Linked DNA regions of Ovis aries. The protein of the gene in region 2 interacts with the protein of the main gene of each other region in a pairwise test. Links are inferred from orthologs where the notes say so. Each region holds a gene or a part of one and is shown on either strand. Other genes may lie near its edges. The genes, in order: ASF1A and PRR3.

The links.
Region 1: the proteins of PRR3 (region 2) and ASF1A interact in binary tests that used the Homo sapiens proteins (3 or more experiments, as listed by UniProt). The two-hybrid records come from large-scale screens. The link is inferred for Ovis aries from reciprocal best matches to the Homo sapiens genes PRR3 and ASF1A.

What each region holds. Positions count from the first base shown.
Region 1 is NC_056061.1:19,405,184-19,409,100, forward strand, and holds the start of ASF1A (histone chaperone ASF1A), read right to left. Parts: upstream 2,357-3,917; 5' UTR 2,127-2,356; coding exon 2,018-2,126; intron 860-2,017; exon of another isoform or gene 1-859. UniProt on the Homo sapiens protein: Histone chaperone that facilitates histone deposition and histone exchange and removal during nucleosome assembly and disassembly.
Region 2 is NC_056073.1:27,532,908-27,536,824, forward strand, and holds the start of PRR3 (proline-rich protein 3), read right to left. Parts: upstream 2,998-3,917; 5' UTR 2,957-2,997; coding exon 2,854-2,956; intron 2,141-2,853; coding exon 2,078-2,140; intron 1-2,077.

The DNA.
Region 1 (3,917 bases), on a different chromosome or scaffold from region 2:
ACATCAATGGCAGGTTTCAGCCATCCATTGTCAAAGCCCTGTAACAACATCCTGAATCATCTAACTTCCTTGTTGAGAACTCGCTCCTAAAATGGAAGATATCACTTGAGAAATACCAGTAATTTCAAGAAGTTCTAATGCCTAAAACACTGTAGTATAAATTGGAAGGGACTCATTTATTGTATTTCTCTTGCATTTGTCCATTTTTATATGCAGTTGATAGTAAAACCAAAAAAATGTCTAGTGGGCATGAAAATGGGCCTAGTGGCTGAAATGCTTATGGCAGTACTTTAGTAACCAAATAGTTTCAAAGTTCGGTAATAAGGAAAACCCCCTTTAATTTTTATTAGCAACAGCCCATTTAAGAATTAGTTTAATAAATGAATTGTCTTTCAAAATGTGCCTACTTTCGTATGTGCATATGTGCTTTATATTTGTAGTAAAACTACAGTGTATGGAACAGCACATACTAAAGTGGTAATTATGGTTACTTTTGAGTGACATGTTGGCGGAAGGTATTGAGTACAGAGGAGTGTTACTTTATATATGTATGAACAACTTTTAAAAAGTTTATTACAATGAGCATATGTTGGTTTTTGTAATTGAAATAGTTTACACACTACCTAAAATACATTATACAGGGATTAAAGGATAATTTTTAAAGTGAAAATGCTTTACATGCCTTGATTAGCATATAATTTAAGATGAATTTTGCTAAACATAATTGTAAGTTCAAAAAAAGCCTGTCCCCTATTTAGCTGTAAAATTACCATCGATGAAGTTAAACTTTTTTTTCCCCTTGAAATTTTGAAAATGGAGCACTGGATGGTTTTAATAAAATCGGAAAGACCTTGGCAAATTTTAGCTTTCTGAATTTCTTACCGCACATGCTATATGTCTTTCTGAGGACCTTAAAACGTACTTAGAAAAAAAAAATTAAATTTTGCATTGCCATCAGGACTTTATTTCCTAGCCCACTTTTGTGTTTTATGTTCAGGGTATTTGGATGTGGACTTGCTGTAATTAGATTTCAACACGTTCTTGAAGGAAGTCTTTCAGACTACTTAGAAGCCAGTGATCAAGTCCTGGAAATTATTTAAATATTTTACTTATTTCTGCTCTCAGGTTAAATGTAACTTGCTAGCTTAGCAATATGTTTCTTCCTGAGAGAGAGAAGATTAGATTTCAGTCACCAAGGATGAGGAGCCCACGTTGCTCGGGGCGAGCCTGCGCGCCAGCATCCCCGGGCGCCCCGAGCATCCTGGGTGCCGGCTGGGGAGCGCCGGCCCGGGAGCACCCGCGGCCCCCGGAGAGCGCCGGCCCGTGGCGCCGAGGGGCCGAGCCTGCGCCCGCCTCCCCCACTGGTTGGTCCACGGAACCAGAAATCAGCGCGAGGACAGCCTCGCTCCCCTCCCCGAAGCGGCCGGGCATGGCCACCCCGGAGAGTCCGGTAACTCCAGCGTGAGCGCTAAAAATGGACGTGCCTCTTGCTCGGGGGCAGGAAGGTGGGCAGGCGGGGCGCCGCGCTCGTCACCCGCGGAGAGGAGGCGTCGTGACGCCGGGGTCGGTGGCCCAATTCTCTACTCTCGGTAAGATGGCTCCGCTGCGAACTCGCCGGCGCCGACCACACACATGCCTCTGCCTTCCCACCTCCTCGCCGGGGCCGCGGAGGCCGTTGGGTGCCCGGGGCCAGCCCGGCGCGACCCCCGGCCGGCGCCGCGGGCGCGAGTGCGGGTCTCGCGAAGCGCCCGCCCGCCAGACAAAGCTGACAACATGGCTACCTCCGCTCGAACAAGTTCCTCGCAAGTTGAGCCGCGGCAGGCGCCCCGGCGGCGGCCGAACGCCGCGCGCGCCTGGCCGGCCGTCGTCCATCAACTTCAAGTTTCCCTCCGCAAAGCCGAGCCCGCAGCCCGCTCGGCGCCGAGCCCCGGCCGCCCGCGTGAGGCCGGGCCCGGGAAACTTTCAACGTCTGCAGCCCGCAACTGACAGCCCGGCGGCGGGCGGGCGCCCGACTCACCTTCAGACAGGTCCTCGATGCACTCGAAGGTGATCTCGAACTGGAATGGGTTGTAGAAGGGAGAAGGGTTATCCAGCACCACTACATTGTTCACCTGAACCTTTGCCATATTTTGAAAAAAACACAAACAATGGGGACGGGGGGCTCGTTGCGGCACAATAAAGTCCAGCGCGCGGCCGCTCGGGAGAGCGCAGACCCCCGCCCCGGCGCCGGCCCGACGTCGTGCAGCGGCGACTTGAGAAACTTTTTTTTCCTCTTTTTATTTACACGGGAACACTCCACAGTGTTTTGCAGCTTTCCTATTTCACTAAACTACAGCCCATTCTGCTCTGATAACTAGCAGCGTTGCCCGCGATTGGCTGCACCCGAGCTCTGACCCTCCTCCTCCAGCGAGGGCCTCCGCGGCGAGCAAGATGGGCTCCCGCTCCCGGAATGGACTCGGAAACTTTAACTGCGGCTCCACCTGCTGGTGTGGATTAGGACAAAGGCGGAGAACAAAGTGAGTGGAATACGGGCTGGGAGGCCCGCGCGGAGGCCGCCGGCGGCAGCGGCGGCGGCGGCGGCGGGGGGAGGGGCGGCGCAGGCCCCGCCCCCGGCCCGGCGGCTCCCGCGCCTCACGTCGGGCGTGGCCGCAGCGGGGCGGGGTCGAGGGAGGCGTGGCCACGGCGAGGCGGCAGGAGGCGTGGCCACGGCGGGAAGGCGTGCTCGCCGTGGGCACGGCGACGGGAGGGCGCGATCCTGGCGACACCCGCCTCTGGGGTTTGTGTAACGGGTTTGTTCTGTGTCTCCCCCACTCCCCCTTCTGACTCTTCACATTAGTCCGACGGCTGTGTCGGCTCTCTACTGAATTTAGGAGATGCGAATCCGTTGTCTACACTAGGTTAGGTTCAGTTGTCTGTGTACTGGGTAATATTTGGGTTAGAGGGAAGGTTGGTTGCAGGGGAAGTAAATTGCATTTTATAGACTGATGTCAGCTCAAAAGGAGCAAAGCCATTTTGGAAATCTAGTTCTTGGCCAATCTCTACGTTTGGGCACGACAGCGCCGTTAGTTAAGTAGATACAAAATGAAGGGCGAGGAAACGCTTTTCCACCCACACTTTGTGGAATAGGTAGTATTTGGGCTGCACCAGGGTCGTCTTTCTCCCGTTCCAGTCTGGAAAGTCTAGAATAAAAAGATGACTTGAGGTTGGATCACTTATACCCGGTTTCTCCTGTTCGGAGGACACAGCAGGAACATAAAAAGGAGAAAATGCAAGTATCAGAAGACCGTAAAGACAACAGATACAAGCAGAAAAGGCAAAAGGCGAGTAGAGACCACGAAAGCATACCAAGACGTGCAATTTTCCAAAAAGTCATGACCTAAACCGTTAGTAAGTAAAAATGTATGGCACCACGAGCAAGTTCAGAGGAATCTTTACTTGATTATTCGACATTCAGCGTCAGTTTGTTCTTGACTACCTTTGTAGGAAAGGGAGAGCTTGTAATACATTTTGTGTAAGGTTGTTGAGCTGTTTCTATTTTCTAAATAAGAGCAATATAAAGGGATTTTTTTCCCTGCTGCATAAACCATCATTTTTCAGGTATTTTGAATGAAACCACTTGGTTAATTAAATTCAGAGAAAGTTATTTAAGTGTCATCTATGCTGAAAGTTTTCTCTTAGTATGGTGCTGAGAATTTTTCAGTTAACATTCTTTGGACACTGTTCATTGCAGGTTGCTTTTAATGAGACTTCTGCATCTGATGGTCTTTTGAAAGTTAATAAGAGACAGCTAGGGAGGCCTGGCATGCTGCAGTCCATGAAGTCACAAAGAGTCACACAACTTAGCCATAGAACAACAGCAATGGGACAGTTAATCCCAGGCCTCCCACATTTAGGGAAACTACTCAGGGTGAGGATCC
Region 2 (3,917 bases):
CCTTATTAGCCTTTCAGAAGCCCCACCTTCTTGTGTCCCTCCTCCCCTACTACCCCACCCTCCTCCCCCAAAGTAACAGCTGTCTTGACTTCTATCACCATAGGTTAGCTTTTGAACTCTGCGGTACAGGAAATCATACAGTCTGCATTCTTTTCTGTCTGGATCCTTTGATTCAACATAGTGTTTATGACCTTCATCCAGGTTGCTCGTAGCAGGAGTTCCTTCATTTTCTCTGCAGTGTGGTATTCCACTACATGTACACACAACTGATTTAGCCATTCTACTGATGGTGGACATGCTACTAGATTCCACATTTTTGTTATAGTGTGGGGATATAACAAAAAAAATGCTGCTATGAACATTTTTATATAAGTCTTCGGTACACACGTGGATGCATTTTTGTTGAGTATATATGTGGTAGAGGTATTATTGGATCCTTGAATATATGTATGCTTACGTTTAAGAAATTCGAAACTTGGGTTGTTCCTATTCACACTCCCACTACCACCATAAACAAGCTGTTATTCCTTGACAACACTTGGTAACAATCTTTTTCATCTTTGCCATTCTGGTGGGTGTGAAAAGCAGTGTTTTGTTTTGAAATTGTGATTGTAACTAACATAAAACTTTCCACTTTAGTACTTTAAGTGTGTATCTCTGTAGTGTTAAGTAATTTCTTGTTATTGGAAAACAGATCTCCAGAACTTTTCATCTTGCAAAACTGAAACTCAGTAGCTTCTAAACAACTCTTTCCCTCTCCTCGCCCCAGCTTCTGGCAAGTACCATTCTACTTTCTGTTAGTATGAATTTAGTTACTTTATATACTTCAGATCAGTGGAACCATACAGCATTTTTTTGTGTGACTGGCTTAGCGTCAAGGTTCATCGGCGCTGTGGCCTGCTACAGGACTTTCTTCTTTTGAGGGCAGAATCACATTCCATTACATGATCATACCACACTCTGTTTACCCATCATCCATCGATGGGCATCTGGCGGCTTCCATATCTTGTCTACCGTGCATAGTGCTGCTATGAACATGGGGTGTGACTCCCTCTTCAAGATCCTGCTTTCCACTCTTCTTGGTAAACACCCAGAAGTGGAACTGCTGGATCACATAGTAGTTCTATTTTAATTTTTTGAAGAATCTCCATACTGTTTTCCATTGTGGTTTCACCACTTTACAATCCCATCAACAGTACACAAAGGGTTTGGTTTCCAAGTTATATGCTTTTATCTTGCCCTTATCTGATGACTAATGATGCTGTGTTCTTGTTCATGTTTTTGGCCATTTAGATCTCAGTTTTTATTAGGTGGCTGTTCTAGTCTTTTGCCCACTTTTCTAACAGATTGTCAGAGAGTTTTTTATATGTTCAAAATTTTAACTCTTTATTGGTTATATTTGTTGCAAGTATCTTCTACTCTATGGCTTCCTATTAACTTAATGATGTGATTTGATTAATAGAAGTTCGTATTTCCTAATGTAATTCAGTTTATTTTTCCTTTATGCTTAGTGTGTTGCTTGTCTGTTTAAAAACTCTAATCTACTTTAAGACCATGAAATACATTTGTTTTCTGAAATTACTTCTTTACCCATGAATATCCAATTAACCTGCCATGATTTGCTGAAAAGGCCACTATTTCAATCCCATCTTCAAGAATGAAATGACCATATGTGTGTGGGCCTGTTACTGGACTCTTTATGCCATTCTGTTAATTTATATGTCTCTTTTTGGACCAATACCACACTGCCATAACTGCTACAGCTTTAAGATAAGTCTTGATATTCAGAGTAAGCCCTTCCCCTTAAAAAATTGTCTTTGCAATTTCTCACCCTGATCCTTTGCATTTCCATATAATAATGCAGAATGCTTATTTCTACAAAAACATTGTAGGGATTATAAGTGGGAATGCAATGGATCTATGGGTCAATTTTGGAAGAACTGTCATTTTACAGCATTGAGTTTTTCATTTAAGTACCGAATTCTTGATCTTTTTTTTACATCCCTTGTGGGTTTTAGTCCCTCCCTTGCTCCCTTTTCACGACCTAATCAAAGGATCAGGGCCCCTTTCTTCTCACCTGACTTGGGGTCACCAGGCTTTCCATTGGCCATGGGGGGAGGGCCCAGAAGGCTGGGTGGTCCTAAGAGTAGACATGAAAATATGGTCATCAGAATGGACTAAAAAACTGATGATCCTGTTCTTATATGCTTTCCTTCTACTACTCATTTCTTAATCTAACCAGTAAAGCCAGGTATATTCTCAACAGTGTTATGGGTTCTGACGCCCATCTATTTCCAAAGCATTTTCAGGATTTGCAAAGTGGAGACTCAGCCCTGTCACGGCGTATAATGAGAAAACGATACCTACAAACTTTCTCTCTCCCTTACATTGTTGCTATCCAATAGATCCCAAGTGACTCCTGAGATAAAACCAATCCCTCTCTTTAACTGCTGGCCAGTCAGATACCTCTCCTTTAACCCTATCCGCAAGGAGTTCACAGAAAGCTCTACTTCCACCTTCCCCATGCAAGTGTGGTCACAAACTGTCATCCCAGTCATCGCAATCTGCAACTTCTCTAGGGCCCCTCTCCCTCTGACGTTTTGCGGCTGCGCACATAAGTTCTTTATCTCCTCTCCCTTCTTTACAAAGGGTTAGAGGCCAGTTTGAAGTTGAGGATTCAAGAAAGAGAACTCATTTAGTGTTCCATCCCACACAGGCTCCCCCCCCCCGGCCCCCGCCCCAGCGCGTGCGCCCTTCCTCCCGTTAGACCCCTCTCCCCCGCATATTTTCAGCCTCTAACCCTTCGCCTCGACAGGCTGACAGGCATGTGCGCACCCCTCCGGGGCTCCTCACCGATGGGGCTCCCATCCTCCTCGTCTCCAGTCTCATCCCGCTCTGGCAGTGGGGGCTGCTGCTGCAGTTGCTGCTGCTGATTCTGCTTCTTTCGTTTCGGCATCGTGGTTGCGGCAATGGCTGCAGCGGGATTTGGAGGGCAGTGAGGAAGGGGCACGCTGGGATTCTGTTTCCGCTTCCGGGGGGGGCGGTGGACACTGAGGCTGAGGCTCCCGCCATTTCACTTCCGGAAGGCTGCGGAGAATCTTTGTGCGGTTCTTCTCGCATCAGCCGCCTCCCGCAGTCTCTGCCAGGCAGGGCAGCAATCTCAAACCTTTCCTTTGCTGCGTTGCTATAAACGCTTTGAAAAAGTTGCTCGCTCCTCCCCTCGCTGAAAGAAAATCCACAACCGGCTGCTCCTCACAGCCTGCCATAGAGTCGACTCTCGGGCCAGAAGGCCTGATAAGAGAAGGCTGTCGCATCTTGAGATCGCCATATCCGGTCCCCGGTTTCTATGGTAACAGCTGCAGGCACAACTTGGTGCCCTATGACCTCCCTCCCAAAATCCTTGTCCCACCTGGGTTTCTCTCCTCGGCGGCGCTTGCATTTATGATCTGTAAGCCTGCTCCTTATCATCATTCCCACAAGGAATTTGGGTCCCAGCAGGGCGCTGCCCAGGGCTCTCCAGACCGCCACCCACCCTTCAAGACCTCTGACCCGGCCCCCAGTGTAGTTCAGTAACTCTGCTTCCTTCCCGGGATGCGCAGTCGCGCCTTTCCTCTAAGGCCCAGCTGGAGGATTGGTAAAGTAGCTTATGCGCGTCCACGCCCCTTTCTCCCCAGGTGGTAGGACCCGCCCTCCGCTCCACCGCCCCCTCCAGGTGAGTGGTAGCTTCTCCCCGGCGCGCAAGGTAGTGATGACACGCGTCCCCCCTCCTCTGAAGGCGAGTTGGTAGCGTCCGTGACGAAGTTAGCCCGATCCTCCCACGCGCGCCTCCTTCCTCGCCGCCGCAGCGCCCTCTCCGTGCCACTGGCTCTCACGTGCGGGTAGCCTACCCTGCATCATCCTCTCGCCTCGCTCTCACT